Linked DNA regions of Pelodiscus sinensis. The protein of the gene in region 4 interacts with the protein of the main gene of each other region in a biochemical or structural test. Links are inferred from orthologs where the notes say so. Each region holds a gene or a part of one and is shown on either strand. Other genes may lie near its edges.

What was found.
Region 1: the proteins of CCNE1 (region 4) and CDC25A form a complex in vitro, tested with the Homo sapiens proteins (2 studies listed by BioGRID). The link is inferred for Pelodiscus sinensis from reciprocal best matches to the Homo sapiens genes CCNE1 and CDC25A.
Region 2: of the proteins of CCNE1 (region 4) and CDKN1B, one has a biochemical effect on the other in vitro, tested with the Homo sapiens proteins (4 studies listed by BioGRID, with this or other methods). The link is inferred for Pelodiscus sinensis from reciprocal best matches to the Homo sapiens genes CCNE1 and CDKN1B.
Region 3: of the proteins of CCNE1 (region 4) and PRKN, one has a biochemical effect on the other in vitro, tested with the Homo sapiens proteins (2 studies listed by BioGRID). The link is inferred for Pelodiscus sinensis from reciprocal best matches to the Homo sapiens genes CCNE1 and PRKN.

The regions. Positions count from the first base shown.
Region 1 is NC_134712.1:257,276,554-257,284,421, forward strand, and holds the start of CDC25A (M-phase inducer phosphatase 1), read right to left. Parts: upstream 3,015-7,868; 5' UTR 2,852-3,014; coding exon 2,682-2,851; intron 76-2,681; coding exon 1-75. UniProt on the Homo sapiens protein: Tyrosine protein phosphatase which functions as a dosage-dependent inducer of mitotic progression. Directly dephosphorylates CDK1 and stimulates its kinase activity. Also dephosphorylates CDK2 in complex with cyclin-E, in vitro.
Region 2 is NC_134711.1:128,801,576-128,809,314, reverse strand, and holds the start of CDKN1B (cyclin-dependent kinase inhibitor 1B), read right to left. Parts: upstream 3,015-7,739; 5' UTR 2,467-3,014; coding exon 1,992-2,466; intron 1,421-1,991; coding exon 1,299-1,420; 3' UTR 1,290-1,298; intron 1-1,289. UniProt on the Homo sapiens protein: Important regulator of cell cycle progression. Inhibits the kinase activity of CDK2 bound to cyclin A, but has little inhibitory activity on CDK2 bound to SPDYA. Involved in G1 arrest. Potent inhibitor of cyclin E- and cyclin A-CDK2 complexes.
Region 3 is NC_134713.1:115,480,161-115,487,442, reverse strand, and holds the start of PRKN (E3 ubiquitin-protein ligase parkin), read left to right. Parts: upstream 1-4,272; 5' UTR 4,273-4,398; coding exon 4,399-4,405; intron 4,406-7,282. Other genes in the region: PACRG (parkin coregulated gene protein), read right to left, coding at 3,682-3,828. UniProt on the Homo sapiens protein: Functions within a multiprotein E3 ubiquitin ligase complex, catalyzing the covalent attachment of ubiquitin moieties onto substrate proteins. Substrates include SYT11 and VDAC1.
Region 4 is NC_134722.1:25,696,703-25,703,657, reverse strand, and holds the start of CCNE1 (G1/S-specific cyclin-E1), read left to right. Parts: upstream 1-3,938; 5' UTR 3,939-3,944; coding exon 3,945-4,252; intron 4,253-4,545; coding exon 4,546-4,596; intron 4,597-4,724; coding exon 4,725-4,815; intron 4,816-5,112; coding exon 5,113-5,181; intron 5,182-6,955. Other genes in the region: uncharacterized protein F13E9.13, mitochondrial, read right to left, coding at 1,655-1,737, 3,401-3,473. UniProt on the Homo sapiens protein: Essential for the control of the cell cycle at the G1/S (start) transition.

The DNA.
Region 1 (7,868 bases), on a different chromosome or scaffold from region 4:
GATTCCGACGAGTCTGTTCTTTGTAGATTGCTACTGTTCCTCATTTCCAGCATTAGCAGAGAGTTTTCATGCTGACTATAAAGATTAAAAACAGAGTTATTTTACTCAATGTTTCAGCCAGAAAGTGTCACAATAGGTTTAAAATGTAGAAACACTGTAGATGAGCTCCATTCGGAACAGAATTGATCAGTTTAAGTAGTGGACAATGCAAAAACGTGCCAGTTTAACAGTCCTGCAAATTGAAATTTTGAGTACCCATAATGAACACAGCACACATAGCTGTCTCCGGACAAGGTCATGGGGACTCATGCATAAGGTATGTGGCAGCAACTAGGAATAATATTGAGATCATATGTGGCACCATGTGGGCTGTGTTGAAAGGGTGCACTAAACAGACCAGTACCAGGGAGCCATGAGGTTGCAGGAATGAGCTCAGGGGAACTATATATAGTGGAAGTAAAGGTTATATAGGTGGAGTAACGGGCTGGAGAAAAACAACAAAGGGGCCAAGGTGGTTACATGGGTGAGGTTATGGGGGGCCATATGTTGTAGAGCTGGACAGACCAGGATTCACAGGAGCTGCAGAGATTAGGAATGCAGGGGGAAGAGTCATGAGAGCCATCCGAAGGAGAAGTGCAGGCCCAAGAAGTCTGGAAGGCTGCAGGACTGGAGCCCAGAGAGCCAGATACAGAGGAAGGGGACAGGCGCCAAGGAACTAGGGAGCCTGGTACCAGAAAGGTTATAGGGGTGGAGTGATGGGGGCCCCACGGAGGCAATTACAAGGAGGCTGCGGGGTGAAGTCTGGGCGAGCCGGCGTGAAGCCGCTGTAGGGGCGAGGTCCTGGGGGCTATGGAAGCTGAGGGGGCGAGGCCACAGGCACAAGTGGGTTTTTGGGGGGGCCGCATGGCTGGGGATGCGTTAGGGCTGCGGGGGGGGCCCTGCAGGCGGGATGAGGTTAGTGGGGGGGGGGCCCTGCAGGCGGGATGAGGTTAGTGGGGGGGGGGGCCCCTGCAGGCGGGATGAGGTTAGTGGGGGGGGGGGGCCCCTGCAGGCGGGATGAGGTTAGTGGGGGGGGGGGGGCCCTGCAGGCGGGATGAGGTTAGTGCGGGGGGGGGGGGGGCCCTGCAGGCGGGATGAGGTTAGTGCGGGGGGGGGGGGGCCCTGCAGGCGGGATGAGGTTAGTGGGGGGGGGGGCCCCTGCAGGCGGGATGAGGTTAGTGGGGGGGGGGGGGCCCTGCAGGCGGGATGAGGTTAGTGGGGGGGGGAGGGCCCTGCAGGCGGGATGAGGTTAGTGGGGGGGGGCGCGCCCTGCAGGCGGGATGAGGTTAGTGGGGGGGGCGCGCCCTGCAGGCGGGATGAGGTTAGTGGGGGGGGGGGGGGCGCCCTGCAGGCGGGATGAGGTTAGTGGGGGGGGGGCGCCCTGCAGGCGGGATGAGGTTAGTGGGGGGGGGGGGCGCCCTGCAGGCGGGATGAGGTTAGTGGGGGGGGGCGCCCTGCAGGCGGGATGAGGTTAGTGGGGGGGGGGGGGCGCCCTGCAGGCGGGATGAGGTTAGTGGGGGGGGGGCGCCCTGCAGGCGGGATGAGGTTAGTGGGGGGGGGGGGCGCCCTGCAGGCGGGATGAGGTTAGTGGGGGGGGGGGGGCCCTGCAGGCGGGATGAGGTTAGTGGGGGGGGGGGGGCCCTGCAGGCGGGATGAGGTTAGTGGGGGGGCGCCCTGCAGGCGGGATGAGGTTAGTGGGGGGGGGTGGCCCTGCAGGCGGGATGAGGTTAGTGGGGGGGCGCCCTGCAGGCGGGATGAGGTTAGTGGGGGGGCGCCCTGCAGGCGGGATGAGGTTAGTGGGGGGGGGCCCCTGCAGGCGGGATGAGGTTAGTGGGGGGGGGGCCCTGCAGGCGGGATGAGGTTAGTGGGGGGGGGGGCGCCCTGCAGGCGGGATGAGGTTAGTGGGGGGGGGGCGCCCTGCAGGCGGGATGAGGTTAGTGGGGGGGGGGCGCCCTGCAGGCGGGATGAGGTTAGTGGGGGGGGGGGGCCCTGCAGGCGGGATGAGGTTAGTGGGGGGGGGTGGCCCTGCAGGCGGGATGAGGTTAGTGGGGGGGCGCCCTGCAGGCGGGATGAGGTTAGTGGGGGGGGGCGCCCTGCAGGCGGGATGAGGTTAGGGGGGGGGGGCCCCTGCAGGCGGGATGAGGTTAGTGGGGGGGGGGGCCCTGCAGGCGGGATGAGGTTAGTGGGGGGGGGGGGCGCCCTGCAGGCGGGATGAGGTTAGTGGGGGGGGGCGCCCTGCAGGCGGGATGAGGTTAGTGGGGGGGGGGGGGGCCCTGCAGGCGGGATGAGGTTAGTGGGGGGGGGGGGCCCTGCAGGCGGGATGAGGTTAGTGGGGGGGGGGGGCCCTGCAGGCGGGATGAGGTTAGTGGGGGGGGGGGGCCCTGCAGGCGGGATGAGGTTAGTGGGGGGGGGGGCCCCTGCAGGCGGGATGAGGTTAGTGGGGGGGGCAGGTTCCAGGCTGGGGGGGGGCGCTCTGGGAGCCACACGTGGGGAGGGAGAAAACGCCCCTGCGGGATTCCGGCAGCTGACGGGGGGGGGGGGGGGGGCGAAGAGCGGGTGTCACGTGGGGCAGTGTGGGGGAGGGGGGAAGTGCGGAGACGGGGGGGGGGATGTGGGGGCTGCAGGGGGCGGGCCGGTCCCACCTGTAGCCGAGCCCTTGCAGCTGCTTCATGGTGCGGCTGAGGCCGGAGACCGGGGAGAGCTCGGCGGGGAACAGGGACTTGGCCACGCCGGGCCCGGCGGCCGGCAGCTGCGGCAGGAGGAGGCGGCGGCGGTGGGGGCCCGGCGGGCCGGGGCCGGGGCCGGGATCCATGCGGCGGGCGGGCGGCTCCTGCTGTCGGCGGCGACCCCCGCGCCCGGGCCCTCCCGTCAGCCGCACAGCGCGCGCGCGCGAGCTCCCCGCGGACACCCGAAGCTGGCGCCAAACGCGGGCCCGCCAATCAGAAGCCGTCTGGCCGCGCCCCGCCCACCTCTCTGAGGGACCGCCACTCTGGGGCGGGGAGGGGGTGAAAAAAGAGCAGCGGCGCCTCGCGACCAATCACAAACCGGACGCTTTTCCTTTCCCGCCCCCTCCCCTCGTGGAATGACCAAGACATTGGCCTTCGTCTTTCCTCCGCCCACAGAGCGGGGCTGGCCAATAGAACAGAAGGGACGGCAAGCGGGAAAGCCAATTGAAACCCGCCAAAGATTCCTTCCTCCCGCCCCTGCATTGTGTGACAGGAGACCTGACCAGTAGAATTGCCGATGAGCCCGTTGGGCGCCGGCGGGTTTTTTCGTTGACACTCACAGCCACCGCCCTCCTAGGCGCGCCAGTGGCACTACAAATCCCAGCATGCAACGCTCCAGCTGGATCCCTGGATCCTTCGGCTCAATGGGGAGCGTTGCATGCTGGGATGTGTAGTCTCTAGTAACCTCACCTCAGCAGCTCAGGATCAGGAGCCATCGCTGAGGGCAACACTGGGAGGGGGTGGGGATGCATGAGGAGGCCATGGGTGTAATCACATGCCATTTGGGCAGCACAAGCATGGCTGGTAACTGGTAGCTCAGCTCCTAGGACCTCTCTGTCTAGAGACCCTGCTCCGGGTGGGAAAGAACCAGCTTGACTCTCGGATCCCGGGGGGACGTCGGCGGCTGGCTCCGCAGGTCCTTCGCCTCGTCACCTCAGCATCCGCAGATCCTTCACCTCGTCACCTCAGCATCCGCAGATCCTCATCACCTCAGCATCCGCAGATCCTTCGCCTCATCACCTCAGCATCCGCAGATCCTCGTCACCTCAGCATCCGCAGATCCTTCGCCTCATCACCTCAGCATCCGCAGATCCTCGTCACCTCAGCATCCGCAGGTCCTTCGCCTCGTCACCTCAGCATCCGCAGATCCTCATCACCTCAGCATCCGCAGATCCTTTGCCTTGTCACCTCAGCATCCGCAGATCCTTCACCTCGTCACCTCAGCATCCGCAGATCCTCGTCACCTCAGCATCCGCAGATCCTTTGCCTTGTCACCTCAGCATCCGCAGATCCTCATCACCTCAGCATCCGCAGATCCTTGTCACCTCAGCATCCGCAGATCCTTCGCCTCATCCCCTCAGCATCCGCAGATCCTCATCACCTCAGCATCCGCAGATCCTTGTCACCTCTGCATCCGCAGATCCTTGTCACCTCTGCATCCGCAGATCCTTGTCACCTCAGCATCCACAGATCCTTCGCCTTGTCACCTCAGCATCCGCAGATCCTCATCACCTCAGCATCCGCAGATCCTTGTCACCTCTGCATTCGCAGATCCTTCGCCTCATCCCCTCAGCATCCGCAGATCCTCATCACCTCAGCATCCGCAGATCCTTGTCACCTCAGCATCCGCAGATCCTCATCACCTCAGCATCCGCAGATCCTCATCACCTCAGCATCCGTGGCACGGAAATCACCGAGAAACAGGCGTGGGAACCCCCCCCCCCCCGAGGACGTTTTTATGGGGCAACGTTTCCGCCTGGTTTTAAGAGCACCGTTCCCAAATCCTGCGGTTTTAGCCCAAGTCCAGTGGCACCGGAATAGTTTTTATAGCAGGAGTGCCGAAGCCACAAGCCACTTAAAGCCACACCGTGGGGCAGTTCCCACAAGTGTCACAACCTTCCAAAGCTTCAGAAGGGTATCCGAGTTAGTCTGTAACAGGAAAAACTTAAACAAACAACAATGGTCTAGTAGCACTTTAAAGACTAACGAAACCTTTGAAGTTTTTCTTCAAAGCCTGGGCTACTGGAGGCATGTGATCAAGTGAGACTAAGAATAATAATGCCTAGCTTTTAGCTCCACTCTCATGAAACAACCAAATGGATTGTTAGACCTCCTGATTACAGAGAAAAGATTCAAAATGTGACTGAAGTGCTTAACTAAGGGCAAAAACAGTGGAATAAAAAGAGCCCACATTTTACTTTACTTACTCTTCTGGGTTTTGCACATTTTTAACCATTTGAGGATGACAATACTGTAATAGGGTGTTGAGAATGGCGCCCCTCAATCAGAGAAGCACATTGGGGGCTTTCGGTGTGGTGATGTGCAATGCAAACCACCTTTGGCTTCCCCTCCACCCATTCTAGATGGTGACTCCTGGAACGAAAGCCAGAGATTAACTGCATGTAGGATACATGACCACGCCGAACCCAAAAGGGAGCAATATGTCTGGAATCTCCTTTGCTGTTTTGCCTGCGGGAGGAACTGGTGCTTCCCAACTCTACCCAGCCAGTGATGAGCTACAGGAACACACAATGTAAGGAGAGCTTCTGATAGCAGAAGAATCTCACTGTGAACATGTGCATCCATGTGGGTGAGAGCTCCCCCTGTACAAGTTGTGTGCGAGCAGCTTCAACACATTGTCTTAGCTCAGGACCCATCAATAAACGAACTGTGGCCAGAGACCGTATCAGTTTGAAAAGTATCAAAACTCAACCTGCACATGTGAATCCACATAGGAGAGAGGCCCTGATGGTGTGCCCAGTGCCAGAAATGCTTTAGCGGCAGTCCTACCTCATTGTGCACGAGACCTTGCTTCATGTACCAGCAGCATCACAAGCTCTCTAGTCTGATCATGCACCAAGGAATGTATAGCAGGAAGCAGCTCTAAAAGTGTATCATATGGAAGAAGAACCTCACCATCCTGTCCATCTTGACCATGCACCAGAGGGATCAAATGGGAGAGAGGCCCTTACAGGGCCACGCAGTGCCTGAGAGGAGCTTCAATTGCCAATCCAAGCTGTCTGTACACCGAAGGCTCATGGAGGAGCTGGCCAGGACATCTGCAGGCCTAGGAAATCTCCCTTGGGAACAGAGTTAAGGTTGGGGAATAGGTCTGTTGATGGGGTCAGCCCTAGGCTCCCACAGGCTCTGCAACCAGCTTCAGTGCTTAGGGAGCCCCCCAGGAAGTACTTGTACAATACCCTTCCCAATGTCAGGAGCCCACCTAGGATGTTGTATTGATGATGACAAGGCATGTATTGTTAATGTAGCACTGTGACAAGGTGCACTGGTATTGGCTAGCTGATCCCTAGCCGTTGGGAGGTGGGGGGGCAGTGCAGCACAATTTGTCAGCTCCCATTGGTCAAAGTGGCCATACTTGACTCAATGGGCATCAACCCTGAAACATACCAGCAATGACTTTGGCGGGAGTGATAGCACCCCAAGAACTAGGCCAAGGTCTGTGGCCCAAAAGCTCTGGTGCTGGCTGGAGCCAGAGAAGCTGAGGGGACCCAAGTGGCACAGGTAGCGATGATGGTGCAGTTCATTCAGATTCTCTCCACCATAGGAAAAGAATGAATGAGGCAACATTATTCAACCTCACTTACAGGAGCAGTCTCCTTGATAGAGGACTACTTGGAGGCTGAGGGGCTGGAGGCACAAGGTCAAAGGACCAAGAACCCTGGGAATCCAAGCCAATAGCTAGAATGAGTTACCGATCTTCACGAGCCAGGGAAAATGATCTATCAACTTGGCCTGTTGAAGGCAGAGAGAATGCTGATTAGATGGCAACCCGTCAACCCATTCCCAGTGGGAATGACCCTGGGAAAATATTATGAGTGTGGATGGGAAAGACATTTCCATCTCGACTGCTTGTTCATGGACTACAGTTACAGCCAAGCACTGCCTGTGGGTTCCAGGGCAAGAAGAAAAGGCCCCATCAAGCTACTGGTAACCCTGCAAGGAACCCCAATGACAGTCCCATTTGACTCAGGCTGTTCCAGATGCTGATGTGAGCCAATGTTATAGTCTCCCACTCTTGGATGGGACCCTGTCCTCGTGCAATGTGTCCCTGGGTGTACAATCTTTCCCCACTGCGTGAGTACGTTTGTTGGATGGACATAAGGAGGAGGTGTACCTGGTGGCTGTGGGAAGTGAAGCAACACAGCAGGGAGCTGGTGGGGTGGGGTGGGGTAGGCTAGGGCCTTTCCGCAAGTGACGTGGCTGTGAACCTGGAGAATGGAGCAGGCTGGAGCCAGGTCCCTCTGCTTGTTGCCGGGAGTATGGGGCAGGCCTGACCCCTGCTGCCAGTGCCAGGTCAAATTGCTCAGGGAAGGAGGATTGAGGGTGGAATGGGGGTAGAGGCTGAGCAGGGGTGGGAAGAGGCGGGACAGCAGTTTAGGGGAAGGGATGGGGGGGCCCTAGAGCTCCCAGCTGCTTCAGGGGGTCGGTCCCACACAGCTCCCAGCCAGTGGTGGGGGACACTAAACCTTTCAGGGCTCAGGCCCAGTCCCATTTTGTCACAGTTACTTTTAGGGTATATCTAGACTGCATCCTTCTGTCGGCAGAGGGATGCAGATTAGGCAGGTCGACATTGCAAATGAGGCAGGGATTTAAATATCCCATGCCTAATTTGCATAAAAATGGCCACTGCGTTTTGCCAAACGCAGCACTTTGTCGGCAAAAAGCGGCAGTCAAGAGAGGGATCTGTCAAGAAAGAAAGCCTTTTTCGACAGATCCTGTAAACCTCCTTGCAAAACTGTAGCCTTGCCTATAGTGGGAAAAGTGCAGATTTGAAAGTGTAGCCATATCTATGCTAGGGTGGCTTTAGCTGACACAGCTGTGTCAGTTACAAATGACACCTAATCGGACTGACATAAGAGTGCTAGCATAGTGAAGCTAAGAAGTTTGTGGAGAAAACCTGACATGGGCACTTAACGGGGCAGTAGAGAACATCCAGCAGACAGCACTGCATTATAGCAATACACAAATGAGATGATCCAGCCCAAGGCTATGGGTAACCAGTACAGATGAACTTACTGCAATGAACAATACAAGTGGGTCATTTCTGAGCATTCAGATAGTTTTCTTTTAATGACGCCTCTC
Region 2 (7,739 bases), on a different chromosome or scaffold from region 4:
AGGTATTAGAAGTGCCAAAAGAAATGTGATAGCTTTGCTCTAGAGGACATCATAACATACATGTCACTATTTAAAAACTAAATCGATCACTGCATCCTTTTCCCTAATTGTTGGGGATGGCGCAATTTTAAATGGGGTGTGGGGTAAAAGAGGGACATATTCCTTTAAAAAAAACAAAGGAAACTCACCCTACCCCATCCTTAAAGAGGGCTGATGCGCCACACACAGAGGGTTTTTTTTAAATCCAGCAGGTGAGCTGAGACCAAGTGAACATGTTTCCAGAGTTTCCCACATTTCACTTTTTAAAGATAGCATAAATGCTGTGTTATTAAGCTGTTTTGCAACAAGTCTGATAGCTGACCCAGATGGCATATTTAAGATCAATACAAGATTCTTTTGCAACATATCTTCTACTTTCTGAACTGTAACGTATTTTGGGTTGCAATAGTCAAAATAAACAAATCTCTTCTACTCCATCTATTTGTCTGCAGACACCATCAGTTTCCTCTTCAAATACCCAAATAAACAGACAGTAGTAGTACAATTTGCATACACATGCATGCTGACGTGTTCATGGATTGTTTACCCCAGCAGGGCTAATTTGTTTTAACTTCTGCTTTTATAGCTTAATCTGCTCTGCACAATGGCAAATCATGTTTGGAAACCTTTTCCTTTAACCCCCACTACTTTGAAACCATTGGTAAATGTACCAATCAACAGCCCTTCCTTGCATTAAAAAAAAACAAAAACAAAAAAATCCCCCAAAAACCACCTCTCATTAAGCCAGTATACTGACTGTAAACAACAATTTGTATGAGTCTACAAAAAATAACAAAAAGAACAGTTTTGATATAAAGAAAATGTTCAGCTTTGTGATTTATTGCCCTTATTTATTTGTATGTCTCACAATGAGTATATGAAAAGACAATGGGAAAAGCCATCAATACTTATCACTCACTAGTTCTACCAGCCTAGTACAGATATAATTGGTAAGAGGATTCTCTTTATTGAAGTGACCAAAATCTTAAACCAGTGGAAAGGGATTGTTTATTAATGACACATAGTAAAAATTCACACATTTACTCCCCATCTCTCCCCCTCCCCAAAGTTTAGCATAGTCTTTCTAAAGTATATTAACAAAAATGTATTTAATCTGTAGCCTTCTATTTTAAAGCCCTTTTGAACATTTCGGTGTATTAAAAATACTAGTCTACAAAGTTTCTCCATATTCCTTTAACTCTTTGCTTAGTTACGCTGCTTTAAAAAAACACCACTGGATGGGTACTCACCTAAACAGTTTACGTTTGACGTCTTCTTGGGCTGGATTTCTTGGGGGTTTGCTCCACTGAACTGGCACTGGGGGGTTCTTCTGAAACCTCTTCTTCTGTTGTGTTGGCTCTTTTAGGCTGAGGAGAGGAATCTAGGAAGGGAAAATGGGAAGAAACAAAAATAAAAGTGAAAACTTAATATTCAATACATTTGCTGCCAGATGTTTTCTCTGCATGGGGGTGGGTGAAGACCCTGAATATTTATGACCCTCAATGTGTTAACTATCGATTGCATGAAAGAGATGGGGAGAACTGGTTCTCTGATTAAATAAAAACAAGGCTTTTTTGTCGAAAATCTACTTCTACACTTTGTTTCATATTTTCTATGAAACTTGTACTATTTCCTCACGTTAGAAGGATATAGACTTCCCACGATTACTACGGAGGGGAAGAAGGGGGGAGAGGAAGGTGTAAGGTTGGTTGCAGATGGGCCATGGGCTCCAGAAGTCAATTTAATTTAAGATTCCCGAGAATATAGGCAGTGCTGGATTTTTGATCTAAGAGAAACAATAAATCTTAAAAGTGTCACCAGCAGAACAGTTTACCGTAGGCAGGACAAGAGTGTGATGTACATGCGAAAGAGGTATACAGCGTTAATGCTTACAAGGATACAGTACAGACAGTAGAAAAAAAAAAGGCTTTTGTTTTCTACGAGTACTTTACCATCCGTCGCTGGTCGTTTTCTTTGCCCAGTGCACTGCTCTGCTAAGTCCGTGTGATTTTCAGATACATCAGTTTTTTGATCTACAAAGTGAGCGTCCTCTGAGTTCCCCTGAAAACCAACTACAATCACCGTTGGGCAGTTTCCATTTACATCCAAACTCTCGTGAGGGGCAGATCTGCAAGCGACTTTGGGGGGTCGGGGGGGCCTGAAGTAGAACTCCGGCGAGCTCCCTTTCTCCACCGCTTGCCACTCGAACCTGCCAGCCAGGGGCATGTGATTCGTGAAATCAAAATTCCATTTCCTTTGACATGCCTCTTCCATGTCCTGGCGATGTTTCATTAAGTCTCTGCTTAACTCTTCACGATGCACCGGCCCAAAGAGGTTCCTACAAGCGGAAGGCTTTGGATACTCCGACTGCCGGGCTTCCATCCGCTCCAGGGTCGGGCTCCCATTAGAAATACGTACGTTTGACATCTCCCCCCACCCTCTTTCTTCTGGCGGTGGCTGGCTGTCGCTAAGTTGAAATCCTTCCTTCCGTGCCTTTGTTTTTTACACTCGAGCTCGGCTCCACGAGAAGAGACAACACCAAACAATTGCATAAGACGCAGGCCGGGGAGAGGGGAGGGGGGAAGAGAACCCCGATAGTCACCAGAAAGTCTCGGGCAGATCAAGTGTACGCTGGGGAGAGCGAAGGATGGGGCAAGCCAAGCCCCTATGCGAGCCCACTTCCAGGCTGATGCGAAGCCTGCGGATCCCCCGATCCAAGCTGCGCCAGCAAACCTCGCCGATGTCAGAGCTGCCGCGTCGTTGGGGGAGGGAGGGGAGAAGCGGGCGAACACGGAGAAGACGACGGCAAAAACAAGAAAAGACGAGCCCTTTTCTCAGTTGCCCAATATGGCGATTGAAGGGAGGCTGACGAAGAAGAAAATGATTGACATTACAAGTCTATTTAAACAGCGGAGGCGATCCATTGGTTAATGCGCCGGGCGCCGCCCCATCTCTGCGCCTCACCTCTTCCAAACAGCCAGCTCTAAAGGTGGCCCGGCCTCCTTTGCCAGCGCTCGGCTTTCATCGTCTTCATCTAAAAAGGGGGTGGGGGAGGAGAGGGAGGGAAAACCGTTTTCCCACTTTCCTGTCGCGGGCTGTTGCTGGAAGCGGGCGCGCTCCCTGGCCCTGCCAAGTTCCCATCTCCCCGGCAGCTCAGCGCGGAGCGGCTCTGCAGCGGGGCCTGGCCCGAGCCATGGGCCGGGGCGGGGGGGAGGAGAGGAAAGGGGGGAAGGCTCAGTTGTGACATTTTGATTTCTTTCCGTCTCGCAACAAGCGCTTCGCATCCAGACCCGCTGGCACCCGCGCCCAGCCCTCGCCCCGGAGACGGGAAGGTCAGGAGTTCACGGCGAGGCGCGGGGGCGGGAAGGGGATCTTACATTCAAACTCCGGCGGGGAGCCGGGCGCCTCCAGACCACAGCATCCCTCGCCAGCCCGAGGAGGAGCGCGGGGGGGATGCGTCAGGAGGTAGCCAGCGCGGACCTCCTCCTACCACGAGAGAAAGAATGAGGTGAAACAAGGGCTCCCACGTCCGCCGTGAATGGGAGGGTCGCCGTAAGTTAGCCTAGTTCCTAGCGTGTCTTTGGCCACCAGGGTTAGGTGCTCCAGGGATCACACCTGCTACTGCAGGTTCGAGTGCCACTGTGAGTCTTGAACGCTTTCTGGTCCCCTCACAGCCCTGGCCAGCTCCTTCATGAGAAGGGGAGGTGCCGTTGGCAGGGTAGGGCGTTCTGCTAGGGGTCTAGACCACGTCCACATCTGACCTGCAAGAACATACCCTCCAGCTATCACTAGCCCTTTGCTGAAGGAACAAGGATTTGCTCCTTTACTTTTGTAATGGGAGCAGAAAGTTGTCAGTTTTGGGAGCTGACAGCGCTTTGCACCCATCCCTCTCACTGTGTTCTCCCCTGTCCTGCACAACTCCATATAATTTTACTTTTATGTGCCTGTGCACCACCACTCTTGCTGTTTTGGACAAACTGATTTAAGCAGCTAGCCTGTAAAGCAGACTGGATGGAGAGGAGTCAACTGTCCTTGAAGAATCTGGGTTTGTTCACACATGGCTGTCTGGGCCCAAACTTTTTAATGGGCTGCTCAAGCTTTCACTATGAACACTCCTTAAGGCAATGATGTAATACAGGGGTGTCCAAACTTTTTTCAACGAGGGCCAGATTTGATGAAGTGAACATGCGTAAGGGCCGACCATTTTGCCTGACATTCTTTGAACCATTAAAATTAAATGCAAATTAACTATTTTATGCAAAGTTTATTGCAAACGGCATACTTTTCATTTCATCACATGGATGACAAACCTAAACAGGTGTTAAATCACTCTGCCTTTCATATCTGAAGGCCAGATGAAAAAAAAAATCCAGGAAGCTGAAATATATGTCAGGAACATTGTAAAGTACATTACATATTATTGGTAATAAAGGTTGTCTGTCAACTTTTAAGTTCAAAAAATATGAACAGGAACATAACACCAAGTATACACATTGTGTCCAAATATATTTATAACTGATTTAGACCAACTGACATTAACTGAGATTTTACAATGTATTCATCTCAATACATATGGATTCGTTGGGGGCCATAAAAGATAGATATTGCCAAATTACCTGGGGGGCCGTATTAAACTGGAACACGGGCCGCAATTGGCCCACGGGCCGGACTTTGGACATGCCTGATGTAATACAAACAATACTAAGCCACTTCACACCACAAGGAAGGCTGGGGGAAAGAGGAGGAAAAATAAATCTGGAAAACTCTGTTTTCCCCCTTTGCCCCATTCAATCACAATGATCATTGCCATATCTCAGGGCTAGCAGAGGCTCATGTGACTTACCCAAAGCCTGAGAACAAATTCATTTCAGAGTACAGAGTTCTTAATCTTAGGCTTGCGCTACACTATACAGTTAGGTCAGGCATGTCCAAAGTCCGGCCCGCGGGCCAATTGCGGCCCGTGTTCCGGTTTAATACGGCCCCAAAGGTAATTTGGCAATATCTATCTTTTATGGCCCCCAACAAATCCATATGTATTGAGATGAATACATTGTAAAATCTCAGTTAATGTCAGTTGGTCTAAATCAGTTATAAATATATATTTGGACACAACATGTATACTTGGTGTTATGTTCCTGTTCATATTTTTTGAACTTAAAAGTTGACAGACAACCTTTATTACCAATAATATGTAATGTACTTTACAATGTTCCTGACATATATTTCAGCTTCCTGGATTTTTTTTTTTTTTCATCTGGCCTTCAGATATGAAAGGCAGAGTGATTTAACACCTGTTTAGATTTGTCATCCATGTGACGAAATGAAAAGTATGCCGTTTGCAATAAACTTTGCATAAAATAGTTAATTTGCATTTAATTTTACTGGTTCAAAGAATGTCAGGCAAAATGGTCAGCCCTCACGCATGTTCACTTCATCAAATCTGGCCCTCTTTGAAAAAAGTTTGGACACCCCTGAGTTAGGTCAATGTAAGCTGTCTTGCATTGACTTTCCTGTGAAAGTGACTTCACTTAAATTTAGCTCCTGCCAACATAAAAGCCTCTCTGTGTTGACATAGCCCTTGTCTTCATTACCACAGGCCGTCGACCTAAGTTACGCACCTTCGATTATGTAAATAAAGTAGGTGAAGTCAACACAATTAGGTCTGCTTACCGCAGTATCTTCACCGCAGTAAGTCAACAGCTGACACTTTCCTGCCAACTTCACTTACTCTTGTTTTGGTGGAGTACCCAGTCCATAAGAGAGCGTTTGGCAGTTGATTTATCGAATCTATACTAGACACAGTAAATCGACCCCCACTGGATTGATCACTATCTGTCAATCCAGCCTGTAATGAAGACATGGCCTTAGAGCATGATTACATTTAGAAGATTACAGCAGCAAAGCTGTACAGATAAAACTGTGCCAATCAATGTAAGCTTGCTCATGTAGCCATGTTATGCCAATGGGAGAAAAATCTCTCATTGACTTAATAAAACCAGCTCAACAAACATAGCTTATGGCATTTGGGGTACATGTACACAGCACCCTTAACTCAAAATAAATTACACAGTTTGTGCTATGCTTATTTTGAGGTTATTTCAAAATAAAGCCCTATTTTGACAAATCCCTTAATCCTCTTGAAATGAGGGCTACAGGGATGCCGGAATAGTGTGTCCGTTATTTATTTCAAAATAACGGGCACGTTTAAAGATGCGGAATTGCTATTTCGGGATACTTCCAGTATCCCAAAATAGTCACGCTCTCTAAACGTAGCCTGAGAGAGCATCTCCTACTGACATAGTGCTGTACACACAAGTGTTTATTCAGGCAAAACTTATTTCCCCAGGGAGTGCGGTTATTTTTAATCATCCTGAGTGAGAAAAGATTTGCTAACAGAAGTGCTAGTGTAGACATGGCCTATATAAAACTACTTCTCTCTGTGGAGTAGAGTTACAATTGGGCTACAGCTACACTGCAAGGCTTCTTGCACAAAAACCCGTGGAGAGTCCACACCTCAAATGCACTTTTGCGCAAGGAAATCAAAAGTAAAATGGCAGAACCGAAGGCTTTTTCCACTGTAGGTAAACCTCCTTTTATGAGGCATAAACTCCCTTTTGCGCAAGAGTTCTTGCACAAAAAGGCAAGCATGGATGCTCCGCAGGGGTTTCTTGTGCAATAAACCTCTATGGGTTCTGTGAATGGCCACCAGAGCTTTCTTGCACGAGAGTGTCCATGCAGCGTGGATGCTCTCTTGTGCAAAAGCACATCACTTTTGTGATGTGCTTTGAGGTGTGGACGTGCTCTTGCACTAGAAGTTTTTGCACAAAAACTCTTGCACAAAAGGCTTCTTGCGCAAGAAGCATGTAGTGTAGATGTAGCCTTGACGTATTTAGGCCAACACAGCATTCACATGGACATTTACTGGCTTTCAGGAGTTGTCCCACAGTGCCCAACACTGACAATACAATTGATACAAGTACTCCTGGTGAGGACACACACCAGCAACACAGGGAGTCAAGTGTTTGCACACGCACACGCACACACACACACACACACACTCATTTAATAACTGTGATAGCACTATGCTGATGTTAGTTAAGTGAACATAATATTGTAGTGTAGACATAGCCTTAGTTTTCTATCCTTTGCATGGACCATTATGCCTGATGATGGGTCTTAATATTGCCAGCCCCAATCATGCATCAAATAAAAAATCAGTAAAAAAACAAACAAATCCAAAAGATAATAAAACAAAAAGAAAAATTTTCACCATGAAGTTATCTTTAAAAACACGAGATTTATGTGAACTAATAAAACTGGATCGTTTTATTTGCCTTATGTTCTGGTTTTGGTTTTAGTTTTTATTTTGTATTTTCCTGCTTTTTCTGCTACCACAATTCTAAAAACTTAGTTTTAAAAATAAAATTAAAGCTGGCATTCTCATGACTCCTGGAGCTTGCCTGGATACATTATACATGGATGATTATCAGTTGTATGGTCAACTAGGAATTCAGCATTCAATCAGCGTCCTATCTATGTCCTTGTCTATACTAGAAAAGACAAGAAGTATTTTACACTCGGTTTCACATGATAGGACATTTCAAGAAGTATGGGATAAACATGATTTGGTGCATTCAGCAGTTCTCTGGAGAAAATCTGCTAATGACTTGTAGTTATCATTGTATTTTGGCAAGACGTAA
Region 3 (7,282 bases), on a different chromosome or scaffold from region 4:
ACAGTGGAAAAGATATAACAGGAGAATATGAGGGAGCCTCAGATTAGAAGATCCCATAGCCCATTGGCTAGAGCACATTCCATGGAGCAATGAAATCCCTGTTCAAATTATTTCTTCCATTCTAGTAGTGAAGGCACTTAAACATGGATCTCCACATCCCAGGTGAGTGCTCCAACCACTGGGCTAAAAGTTACACGGCGAGCACCACCTTCTCTGGCTGTTTTGTATGGCACTACACAGACATCTCACTTATTTCTGCAAAAAATAGTGTCAACATTTAAACTTCCTGACTTCAGGAGATGGGCTCCCATTTGTGGATGGCCAAATGAAGCTAGATGCCTTTGTGCAGCCTGCACTTAGGGTGTCTATCTCCATGAGAGGAAAGGGGCTTAGTATACAACTTTTTAGTTAGTATCTGCCTATAGCTAGCTAGGCAGTTCCCTGCCTAGCAAATTAACTTTTGTGTATCACATTCTTAGGCTCCTACCTCTTCCCATTAATTGTATAGGGAACCTATTTACTAGGGGTGGGCAATAATTTTTGATGGGGGGCCACTCCAAGATTCTGGAAAGTGGTCAAAGGCTGCACTCTTCCATGATATTAATGGAGGAGGTGCGGGGTCTGGGATGGAAGTTGGGTGCAGAAGGGAGATTGGGGTAAGGGATTGGAGAGAATGTGGGATCTAGGAGGGAGCTTGGGTGAAGGAAACAGTTGTGATCTGGGGCACTGGACTGTGGTGGAAGGGTTCGGATTGTGACATAGGACAGGAAGAGGTTGTGAACTGGGGTGTAAGGATTTGGGTTTTGATCCAGGCAGGGGACTGGGGTGCTGGGGTTTGGGATGTGACCTAGGGGAGAAGGGGTTTGTTACCTGGGGTAGAGGGCTGTGGTGCAGGTTCTGGGAGGGAGTATGGGTGCAGGAGAGGGGCAGACAGTTCGGGTTATATGGGGTAGGGGAGGCAGGAGTGGTGGGCACAAGGTTGGGGGAGGGAGGGGCTGGGGTGCCAGAAACAGGTTCTGGCTGGGAGACTTACTTGGGTGACTCTGGGCCAGCAGCCCAGCACATTTCTGATGCAGCTTCCCGTGTGTGTGTGTGTGTGTGTGTGTGTGTGTGTGTGAGAATAATTACAAGCCATAGGGGAGGGAGGTGTAGTTCTTTGTGTGCTGCCTGTTTTTCAAACAGGCAGCTTTCACTGGCCAGAAACAGCTCACAGTGGTGACAGAGAAATGTCCCGACAGCTGCTTTTCTGAGTGGAGTGTGGGTGGGGCGAGGCAATTAGGGAGCCTGCCTGGGGCTCCCTGCTGCGTCCGCAGGCCAGATCCCGTGGCTCAGTAGGCTGAATCTGGCCCGTGAGCCATATTTTATGCAGCCCTGTTCTACACTAACCTCAGGGTTTGTGGATCACAGTGGTGTTCCTGAATTATCTGAGCACATAAAACATTAGGTGATGCAATATTCAGCATTGCAATACCAAAGTCTTTTTGTGGATCTGACCAAAGACAGTCAGAACTTTATGTAACACTCCAGCAGAGGTATAAATAGAGAAAATTGTCTCATGAACTCATGTCTGTGCATTTGCAGCCAATAATTATCCAACAATTTGAAGGATGGAAATGCCACTAAACTTATTCCCAGAAATCAAGAAGAGAAAATAGGACTCACAAAAGATCTATGACCTGTCCAAATAAAAGGACAGAAACTGTCTAATGTTCATTTTACGGAGTATGTGGGATGAATGTAATTGCAGATTATCAAAGTAAGAGGCTGATTTAAGTGAAAATCCAGAACAAATTTGAAACAAGCATCAAAGACCAGCTTGCTTTTGTGAAAATGTAAGAATTAGGTTTTGGACATGAGGGCCTGTCACTCACTAGCATATATTGTAGATATGAGAGCTATTAGAAAAACACAATGTTATGATCTAGGAAATACATACTGATGGCTTCTAAATCGAGGACTCATGAACCTCAGGGTTAGAGATAAATGTTCTATGCCATTTGAAAGAGAGGATTCCCATATTTCAGCTGTGGTAGAGCATCAATTCTAGTTCTAAGCGCTTCAGAATGGTGATGATATAGTTCTTTGTGTTTCCACGGAGCCCAAATCCTGACTGGAGACTTTGTGAATTAAAAGCAGTAATAAACAAAGAAACAAAACAAACAGTTCTCTATATACTGATCACTAATTTCAGATTACGGTTCAAGTTTGTTGACTGTTCATATGCTTGCTTTATGTTATGTCCCTGTTTCTTACCTTTCATGTTTTGTGTCTTTAAGGCTTGATTGAGGCAAAGTTTTATGCATAAAATAATTATGTTCTATGAATAATCTTATTGAAGTTAATTTTATTATGCACCTGCATAAAGTTAAGCATCTGGGCGTGAGTGATTTGGCTGCTAACATTAAATAATAAACATTGTGTTTTTATTATTACGTGATAATAGGTCAATGCTGGGATGGGTTTTGCACTTAATTATTGTTGGCTTTTAGCCCAATTGGAACCTATAAAAGGGGGAAATGTTATTTCTCAAATACATTTTACAGATTACATTATATTTAGATAGACTGTTCGTTTCTTTTCCTTCTAAATGTTGACATATGTAATGAATTCCAGAGCCAGGTCAGATCAGTTTCTAGGGATTCTTTTCATGCATTTTGTAACTATTATCAGGAACATATATGCAGTTAAAGAGAGAGTGAGGGATAAAGCAAGAGACTGTTGCCAACACCTTGAATTGTACCCAAAAGCAAACAAAAAGCCAATACAGAGATTTGAGCACAGATGTTGTGTGCCCATAACAGCACTTTCCACTCAGTAACTGAGCAGCTGCATTCTGCATTACCACAAGCTTTGGGGTTTATTTATTACATTTAATGGAAGCAATCAATTACAACAATTATTGTCGGAAAGGTTCACTATAAAGACAGGATGGGATATCACAATTATTACTCATGGCAGAAGTGTTAGTGAAAGTAAAGATTGATGGATCAACCCCTATTTGACCGCCTCATGTTAAAAGGCTATCCACAAAAAAAGAATGTTTATTTTCAAGACAGTATTTACTAATACTGTGTGAAAGATATTTCATGATTATTGTTGGACTTTTTTTAAATGCTATATTTTTCATGTTTTCAGGATTAAATAATGACATTCAACTCTTTTATCTTACCACCTTGTATAGGTTTTCCTTTAATTAAAAATATGTGCTTATAATCATTTTTTCAGCTGAGAATTTAAGGACTGTCTCCTTTGCAAAGAGAAACTTTCCCCAGATAATGTGATATGTATGTCATAATTTCACCATATTTGACACAGTGCCATGGTATGAAATGGTAATATTTTAATAATGTACAGCATAATTATGTTTGGACATAACTCCATGATAGGTGGGCCTTTAAATCAATATATAATTGGATTATGCAATATATAACAATATGGTGACACAAAACTGACACATTTTAACAAGAGGCATGGCAATAGCCTGAGACACCGCCCTTACTTCAAGCTGACATTTCCTCAAGGCCTGAATGCTATTTGCATAACCCCAGACAAAATCATACCAACCCTACATACTTTCTGGCAGTCACAGTCCCCCTTCCACCCACCCACCGCCTCTTAACATGCTTCACAGGCAGATGAGACTAAATGAATGTAAAGCCTCTTTATTGGCAGCAGACGTACCACAGTGTTTTTCATCATGGCTTTAACCGTGAATCCATCGGTGACCTGCTGCTTGGCTCTCCTCGCCTGGCCTAGTGGCTGCTGCTGTTGTTGGGGTCTCTCTGCAGGCAGCTTGGGGGGGCTCGAATCCTCCTTCTCTGCCACCATCTCCCCAGGCACCTCTGTGGAAAACAGGAATCACAATACAGGCTAAAAGAATACATTGGAAAATAAAATCAACCTCACGCTCGGCTGCCCCTTCCTGGCCCCCTGCCCCTGCTGCCTTTTCTCACCCCCTGCTATCGCCTAGGTAGGGTCGGGGGGGCTGGGCCACTGACACGCTTTGTTGCTAACACCGACACGCTTCTAGGGACGCCTCACGGTTGCTAAGCAACGTGTCAACAACCTGCCCGGTTTCTGTTTGCGGTCACGTGAGGAAGGTGGGCGGGGCGAGAGGGGAAGGGGAGAGGGGGAAAGGAAATCGCGCCGATCACGCACCCCAGCCCTGGCGACAGTAAGAAAGCGCGGGCGCACAGGAGAACTACACTACCCAGAGGGCTACTGCGCTCAGCGGGGCACGCGCCAAGTTTCCGCATGCGCAGTACGGCCCAGCCCGTCCCACCGGCCCGCCCCGCAGTTTGCGTCTTCAGTCCCGTGCTGAAGGCGAGAATTTGAGCTGCGAGCGCGGACGGGACGGGGGCGTGCGCGCGCCCTCCTCCCTCCCCCCCCATCGTGGCCATGATAGGTGAGTGAGTGAGACCCGGATGCAGCCAGCGGTTCCTCCGCCCCCCACACAATCTATTCGCGAGCCAGTCCCACCGAGCCTGTGGCGCAGCAGCCTGGGCCCGGGACCCCCCCCCCCCCCCCCCCCCCCGGCTCGTGGCCACCTGCTCCACCCGCCTGTTGCCAGCACTGGCCTGGCCCCGCGGCTACCGACATAGGAAATTACTTGCGCTCCCCGCGCGCAACATGTTCACTCCCTGTGCAACCCCCCGCCCCAATACTCCCTTCCCCCCCGCGCACACAAACAGGGCTGCCAATTTTGGTATCTCATCATGGCGTAATATTTAATTAAAGATGAACCCTTTAATTCCTAGAGATTGCAGGACAACCGTGCAGGAATGGCAACACGCACACTGTAGAGTACGCACCCTTCCGTGCAACACCCCGTAGTGTATGCATTCCCCAACATAATGCAGCCACTCTGTAGGTTCTCACACCATGCACACGTACATCTATGCAGCCAGGGTACCCCGCACACACGCACTATAGGCACAATACATATGCATGCACTTAGTTTGTGACTCGAGATATTGCTAGTCTTGATCTCTTATTTAGCCAATATCAACATAATGGTGCTTTACGGCAAAGACATACTAGCACTGGTGCACCCAAGGGGAAAAAAAATTGACCGTTGACCAGCTTGTCCCCCTCTCTCCTAACACCTGCCTGCCACAGAAGGCTGTTTTTGCAGTGTGGGGGTGCTCATAGTGGGGGTGGGGGGAGGGAGGAGAACAGGGATATGGCATGTTTGGAGGAGGTGGTGGGTGAAGTCTGGGGGAGCAGAGGATGAAGAGTGGAGGTTGACCCCTTCTCCCCTGGTGCCTAATATGCTTCACAGGTAAGTGAAAGTATAAGTGACTGGACTCTCCACTCCTTTGCAGAGTACTACACTTATGCAAAGCAAGTGTGAAACCCAATGGAAAGGGATTGAAAGTGTTTTACATCAGCTTTGCACTGGCATATGTCCTCATAAAAAGAGTGTGATATTGATGACTTTTTTTCTTTTGACCTTCCAGGAAATATTTGTATCTTTTAATCAAGTGTATCCCTTTTGTTCTTTCACCATGTGGTCTGCTTATAAATCTAACTGTATGCAGTGTTGTATCTGTATTAAGTTCCAGGATATTGGAGAGACAGTATGGGTGAGGTAATATCTTTTATTGAAGCTTTGTGTCAGCTCATAAGCTTGTCTATCTCACCAACAGAAATTTGACTAATAAATTACCTTGCCCATTTTGTCTCTATAAATCTTGATGGCAGCTAAGTCGTGGTTCATCTTGATCTTTCCATTGCCTTCATGCTGGCTGAGAGTAGTTGTCTCTTGCAGTCCTGCCCTGCCATTGTTATCTCTTCACACAGCAGGAGTGGAGTTGAGGAATCAACTTACATTCGGGCTTCACAGATAGTGGTGGGAGGTAAGAGGGCACTGGGTGAAATGACCAGAGTTACCTCAAAGTTGACAACATGTATTGTGCAGATTACAACACGTGACCTTGTAATCCAACTAGCCAAAATTTCCCTCTGGTATTGGAAAGAAGAGGTAGTTAATCCCCAATATCCCTGTTCCCTCATTGTGGACCCCACAAATCACAAAGGCTACCACATGGTCTCAAAAACTGTAAACTTTTCCTTTTACATACTCCTCCTTTTTCACTTTAATTTTTATTTTGTTAATTACAGATGAAGAACATAACATTGAGGTCCTAGATAAAGTTGTTTGTGCTTGAAGGATTTCTTCCTATCCCCCGATTTTAAATACCTTTTTTCTGCCTCTCTCATTGGGTGTTTGTCTCCTATTTGAGATCTAATCAAAATTAAATATGTTCAATTTTATAGTTGATGTACTGATGAAACATTGATCCTCTAAAAGTTTTGTAACTGAATTTCTTGGGAAATTGCTGCACATTCCCTATTATTTTTGTAGCGAGAAGTTATTTTTCCTTTCTTGTTAATGTATGGTTTCTGGAATGTTAGTGTGATGTTCTCTTTAAACCATCTAAAAGCAAAAGAAAGTTGTGTAACTTTATGACGGTGTGATTTTTTTAATTCTATGTGAATATTATATGCAGTGTCTACTGCAATTTGTGCCTAGTTGCATATATCTGTTCCTTTTTTTCTAATGCAGTAGAGAGCATTTATAAGAAAACTTGATTTAATGAAAGAAGTGTTTTCTGACTCAAATATTTATATATCTTGATGAATTGTACAGAGTTCAGATCAGAGTACTTGCTTACAGAGCTGCAGTTAGTGTTCTTTTTAAAATTTTCTTTAATTTTTTAGCAAGTCAATATAAGACAGTTTTAAAAGGCATATGTGACTTAAAGTTTTGAAGGAATGAAAGGCTTGAGTGTCATATGCTTCTGATTGTGTGGCATGAAGAATTATAGAGCACGAACTGAACCCTAATCTTCCTGTTAGGATTAAATCTGCACCAGTCTTCAATTTTATTTGCATGTGGCTAATGCAACATACCTACTGACCCGAATTTAGATAGGCTATAACCTATTAAGACAGAAAATCTTAATTTAAACTGATCAGCTTTATATGGCTCATTTATAAATTGATCAAGAAAGTCTCAAAATAATTGTCAGATGCTAAATATATATATGTGTGTATGTAAAACATCGTTTTTTCAAACCTGACAAACACAGGAATCATGTTCTAACAGTATAGTGTTCTTGTGGAAAATTTTCTTTTGAATAGAAATTACTACAGATCAGCAATTTGATCTATCTGGTTGGTCCCTGCACTCATAAGGAGTACCACTGATGTCAGTGATATTTTGTATAGGCATATGGATGTGACCCAATGGGTCAGATTGTAAATATATAGGACCAGG
Region 4 (6,955 bases):
TCTTGGCTTTGGAGGGGGGTGAGGCTCGAGCACCAGCACGGGCTCCCTACTGTGGGGAGAATAGGAGGGGGCTGAGCTGGAGCGTGGTGGACTGGGTGGACGGATAGGAGTGAGGAAGTCACCAGCAGGGTGAGCGGGACGCACTGCGTCCCACTGCTGCAGACCATGCTGTCCATGGGGGTCCCTCTACTTTGGCTTTGCCTGTGAGGAAGGTGAGCGGCGCACAAAGAGCCCTTTGTGGTGCGGCCGGTGCCCAACGCCCAGGGCTTTTCCATGCTGCGCCCGCTGACAGCGTCGGCTATGGCTGGGCAGGCTTTCCCCAGCTCTATGCAGCATTCCAAGCTCCCCCAGCGGCAGGGTGCCATGCACTCCAGCCAACACTCACTGTAATGGGCTATCCTGAACTGAGCCAGGGGTGGCATTGCAGCGTCACTGGTGGAAATCTCTCTCACTCTTGCTTGCCTCTCCCCCCAACCTATTGATGCTGACGTGATGATGTCATTCTGTCATCCTGCAGGAAGTTTTTTTAATATATATATATATATATATATATATATATATATATATATATATATATATATATATATATAGAGAGAGAGAGAGAGAGAGAGAGAGAGAGAGAGAGAGAGAGAGAGAGAGAGAGAGAAAAAAAATATGTCGGGCAAACAAATATAGTACTTTGTCAGACTGGATGAGGAATTTTACCAAAGACCAGAGTGTACTAGATTTTTTTCAATAACCAACTTTTCTTCATCATATTAATTACTATTTGTATTATTATAGTGCCTAAGATATTTATGGACCAGGAATTCATGTAGCTGAGCAGTGCCCTGTGGTGTAGAAGGCCTGTGAAAGTACTTTATAGTCCCTTGAGCCATGTGCCAGAACAAAGATTGTCTTGCCCTAAATTGGTAAGTGAATAGAAGTGCCTATTTCTGCTATCCTGCTGGCACTGTAAAAACAGAAAATAAGAGATGACAATGTAACTTCTTTAACTGGTCTGATTCTTCTCGGACAGCGGTGTGGAACCTTTTTTAGGTCGGAGAGGCCGCAGACCCACAGAAAAACAGGCAGAGCCACAAATGAGAAGGGGGAAAAAAACCACCTCACTGATGTGGCCCCAGACTGAGAAGGAGAAACACATTCGCCTCATTCTCCTCACACACCAGACTAGTAGATGGTGAGAGGGCTGAGGGGAGGGAGGAGGGAAGGGGGAGGCAAATCTCGGGGGAGGGAGGAGGGAAGGGGGAGGCAAATCTCGGAAGGCGATCCAGGCAAGACAGGGTCTGCATCTGATCCCCAGGCCTTAGGTTCCCCGCCCCTGTTTTAGGAATTGGCTGTAAATATGCTTAAGCGATCAGCCTGAGCTGCAAAGTGCTGGTCCAGAGTCTTCCAAAGCTCAGGAATAACAAGATCCATGATTTTGGTTTAAACTATTATAGAAATTGAGGCCATTTTCAAAACAGGGATATAGGATTGAATTTCAAGCATTTTCTAACAATCTGCACAGCAGTCTGGATACAGGTTTGATGTGAACTCTAATATAAATGTGATCTTCGAAATATTAACTCCACAGAACCAAGATTTGTTGTACTCGGATACAGCAATATTTTTATACAAAAATTGGAATAGAAGAATGAACAATGAAACTTACAACTCCAGCATCCTTATAAATCTCAGACTCATAACAGGCTTTATCAGTGATCTGGGTCAGTGGCAAACTGCTCTGTGGTGTCCCTGCAAAGAACAATGTTTTTATATGCCGTGATAGAAGTAGAAATCAAAACAAAGCTAGAATTAAATTTAGATTACTGCAAGCACTGATAGAAGTGCCAAAGTAGGCACAAAATGGCAAAGTAAATAATGTGAGTAGTAGTCTGCTCCATCATGTCTCGTATTTCAATGGTATTTTGTCTCTAGTAGAATGTGAATGACATGCTTTGACCACTGAGTTCCTAAAAATGATTTAAAAGCATTCACACTTCAAGATATATCAAACGTAACCTTACGCTGAACTAGACCAACACCTAACTTGTCATTCTCACCTATTCGCAACCAGCTCTGATTACACCTCATTCTATATTGGTGACAATGCACTGTATTTCAATCTGTGGCAGTGTCTCAGGCAACTAGCCTGCATAGGTGATGGGAAATTAATACAGAGAAGACCAAAGTCACACAAATGGATGCTTGGTAGGCCTCCAATGATTCGTGAAGGCTGGAGGTTAAGTCTAGCATGCCAATTTTCTCAAAGCCACACAAAACAGGAATGATGCACAGGAGAAAATGTAAGGACTACATTAGTGCTAAAAGGAAGTTTCCCAGTACACAGGACTGTAGCCAAGACACAAAGATACAACTATAGTTGTAAACTGTTGCAAAATAATGCACGGACGAGTAACAGACAAAAAGCAGTGAAGGCTACTGTTTTTCTGTCTGTTCTCCCCAAAATTAAGATGAAACACTTGAAAGTTTTTGGTCTCCTTGATATACTGATGCGTAACTTCAGGCTTTATTTTCAGAAATGCTATAAATGCAACTGTAACAGAAAACATGTTCGTCAGTACATGCATCTAACGAAGTGGGTCTTTGCCCACGAAAGCTTATGCTTCAACACTTCTGTTAGTCCATAAGGTGCCACAGGACTCCTTGCTGCTATAACAGAAAAGGCATTCAATACCTTTGAAGTTCAGGTGGAAGGTGTCACAAATTGAGCAACCAAATTTAGAAGTTAGTCTAAAAAGATTGAACCCAGTGCTCACTTTTAATCTGAGACAGCCATAAGATCACTCTGGACAGATCACACTGAAAAATTTGCCTGACACTGACTAGTCACACTACCCAGACAGTAATTTTACCCAGACAGTAATTTTACGGATGCTCCATTGTGAAGGACAAATATTGCACTGAAAAACATGCATGCTCATCTCAGCTACCAGCCTTCCAAATAGGTCACTGTATCCTGACAAAAATCCCTGATCTTTTGGCTTCCACAAATTCTCTATCCCCCCCCCCTGCAGGGCAGCATGGAGATTTCATAAAAAGTCACCTACTCTAACGTTCTGGATACAACAAATCCAGCCAGCAAACTTGTGCAACTTAAGTAAAGTCCAGGGAGCACACTCCTACGCAAAGGCTGTATCTGTTACACATCACAGCACCTGCTATGTTGCAGAGAGCATTTCTACTTTGCTAGATTACAGTCACATGGAGGCAGCAGGAGGCAGCATGGCGAACAGGGTGAAAGACTGTCAATATACTAGCTCCACCCCCACTTCTATTCTGCGTCTTTCTAGACCTTGAGAAATAGCAGCATGGGTCAGGGAGGTTTTTCCTTAAATCAAACTCACTGGAGACATGATCTTCCCAGCAACAGTCAATATAAAAACTCTTCTTTTACCTGGTAATGCCCCCACATGCACCATCCCAATGACAACGGATTTGAGTCTCCCGAAGAGCTTCAGAAACTCCATAGTCTATGGAAAAACAGACGGGGGTGGGGATTCAGTCAGCGCCGGGAGGCTCATTATTGAGAGGGGCAGTCCAGGGAGACATGGGAAGGGAAGAGGAGCGATTTAAGGATCCGGCGCTTCCCAAGGCGGAAAGCCTGGTTACACCGACCCAAGGCGGGTGCAGCCCACACGGGCAGGCGCTAGGAAGCTCAGCCCCACTCAGCTTCCCCCCGGGCTCTCCCCCTCCCAACGCAGGCAGCGTCCTCAGCCCGCTCCCCGTTACCTGGGCCGGGCCTCTCGGAGCAGCCCCGCCGTGCGACCCCCTCGGCCTGGCCCGGCCTGGGCGCCTTGTTTACATGCCGGGGCAGCCACGCTGCTTCCTCCCGCTTCCGCCTCGGGCCGCCAGCTCCTCCCCTGCGCCCGCTGGCCCCGCCCGAGCCGGCTGCCCGCCTGGCCGGGTCGCCGCGCGGCCGGGTCCCCGCGCCTCGCCCCATGCCCCCGGCCCGGCCCCCTGCGCCTCGCCGCCTCCCCGCGCAGACCCCGCCCCGGCCGGGTCCCCGCGGCGCCCCGCGCGGGGCCACGTGTGCGGGCCGGGCAGGGAGGCGGCCCCGCGCCCTCTCGTTTAAATGTCCCGCTCGGCCGGGGCCGCTCTCTGCGCAGGGACAGGAGCGGCCGCGCTGTGAGGCAGGAGGCGCCCAGCGGAGCCCGCCCGCGCCCTTGCTCCCCGCCCGCCCGGCCCCGCCTGCAGCGCCGGGCAGCTCCCGCGCAGGGCTCGTGCGGCCCGGCAGCCTCTCCCCGGGGTAAGGCGGCCGCGGTGGGGAGGGAATCGGGTGCCTGTGCCCGGGGCCCCCCTTCGGCCCCAGTGGGGGGGGGATGGGATGGATGGACCCGATGCCCCCCAATGCACCCACATCCGCCCCCGAGGGGCTCCCCTCAGGTGCCCCCGCCCGGCGATGAGGACCCCCCCATCCTTGCCGCCCGCGCGTCCGGCGCTCTTTGTGGGGGCTGGGGCGCTGCAGCTGTTGCCGCTCTCGCCTTTGTGAGGCGGTGACCTGCCCCCACCCCCTAACCCTCTGCCTTTCCCTTCTCCTAGGGTTGGAACCAGCCTCTCCCAGTCCCATCCAGGCACCATGCGCAGGGAAAGGTGAGTTTCCTAGCTCCCTGCAGGGCGTGTGGGGGTGGAAAGTGAAGTAGGCCGAGGTCTCCATTAGGCAGATCCCAGAGGAGACTTCCTCGAGGGGTTTATGTCCCTGTATCTCTGTTTCTTGGCAGTGACTACGTGGAGGAGAAGGCTCCCCCCAAGGGTGAGGGTGCTGCCGACCTTGCCATGCGAGCCCGAAAGAGAAAAGCTGATGTGGCGACTGTAAGTACAAAATGGCTCACTTTGATCCTCTAAGTGCTGCTCTGTCATTCCGTGTCCATCTGGACTCTCTGGCTGCTGAAATATTTGGACCGTGGCCTCTTGTGCCCTGGCTGGATTGTGAATGGCCATGTGGCATTCTGACTGCTGTAACTGGCTAAAGTTTTGTGCTCTGTCATGCAACCTATATCTGCCTGGGATAACAACTGGGTTTACATTGGTGTGACTCAGAGTAGAGTTTGGCCTGGAGTCTGTATTCTTGTTAGCACATGGCTCTTTTTTCTTTTTTCCCCATTGTAGTTCCTACAGGATCCTGATGAAGAAATTGTTAAAATGGAAATGAACAAGAGAAAGCAATATGAAAACCAGGTAACTGACTTGGCTAGGGATTTATAGTTACTGATCTTTGTAATTTATAGCGTTTTCTTGGAACTTGTGGCATTTCACCAGCTCTGTGCATACCTCACTTCTAGCATACTGAATGGTATTAGAGGAGGGGAGACTTTTGGCCAGGGAAACTAAGAGAAACCCCTCAATTTACAAGATGACATGGGATCCTTAATGCTGTCGTAAAACAAATAAGATCTGCTTGAATTCTTGTGGTAGTATGACCAAATATCCTGTGTTTTCATGGCCTTTATGGTCTAAGGCCTTAATTTTTCATGGATAGATGACGTCACAGAACATCATTTTCTTCATTAGAGAGCTAAAGCCTAGAACCTATCCATTTCAGTATAATTGACAGTTTGTATTTTTGCAACTGTCTCTACTTTAAACATATATATAAAAAGAGGACATCTGTATGCTTCATCTAGACCATCAATTAATTATTTGTTACTGTGACATTGATTGTTGTCTGAGTGCCAAAAATCAAAACTAGGATTTGGAAATTTACAGTGGATGTAAGTTTTAGTGGCATTACTGGGCCCACAGGTAAGTCATAGTAGTCCCTATAAAGGCACTAGATTTCAGAGAGACCACACTGAATGGCATAGGAGGGCTGGACATGGGGAGAAGAAACATTGTTCTTAGCAGGCAGTGCCAGCTTTCTCTATTTCCCTGTGACAATATTAAGATAACTTAGTTTTGATTTTGAAATAGCGATTGTTCTAAACTTCATTTGTTTGTTCCATTCTCCCATTCTTCCTTTGTTGCACAAATCTGGGTGTACGATCAGTTACTTCCCCACACTTTCATACACAATATGAGATATGTACTGAGTTTGTGAGGATGCGCTCCCTGTATATCTTCAAACGTATGTGCAGATAAAATGTGGTTGAGGCATGAAAAATAAAATATACATATAGGCTCTTCCTTGTTGAGACTTGAGCTAAATAATGCACATATCGAATGATATTTAAGTTATTGTAGTCTTGCATGGGGACTATAGTACCCTGTTTATGCATAAGTAACCCTATTACTGAATAGGGATGTAAGCGAGTAGTTGAGTATTCGACTACCCAATAAGGCTAAGCTTCTCGGATAGTTGAGTCAAGTACTCAGCTAATTGCTTTTCCCCCACCTTGCTCCCTCTATCAGAGGCAGAAAGGGCAGGGGGACAGTAGCCAGTGCTGGGGGAGAGCCAGCTTAAAAGCTGGTTCCCCAGCACTGTTTCTGCGGTGCCACCTGTCAGAGGCAGCAGCGTGGGAGGTTGGAGGTAGCCGAGCCTGCTGCAAAAAGGCGGGTAGGGGAGGCCGCTCCCCACTAGGATCCCCCACAGGTGTGCTGCTGGACCTGGTGCAAGCTGGGACCAAGCAAACGCAGCTCAGTCCTGCTAGTCTGGGACCACTGCAACTCAGCATTTTAAATGTAGTAAGAGCTGGGCAGCTCTTACTACATTTAAATTGCTGAGCTGCAGCGGTCCCAGCTCTGTCCAGGCTTTTGCTGGTCTGGGACCTACCTCTGCTGCGGCTCTGCAGTTTAAATGTAGGAGATGCTGGGCTGCCTGCATGCCCAGCACCTTCTTCTTGTAAAATGCAGAGCCACAGCAGGGGTAGCTCCTGGACTGGCGTGAGCTGGGACAGCGCACCTTTTCTTAGGAATTAACTGTGTAGTCGATACAAATTAGTCAATTACCTGCCTCTTGACATCCTTATTACTGAATAAATCTAATCCAGGAGTGGGCAATAAGCGGCTTTTAGGC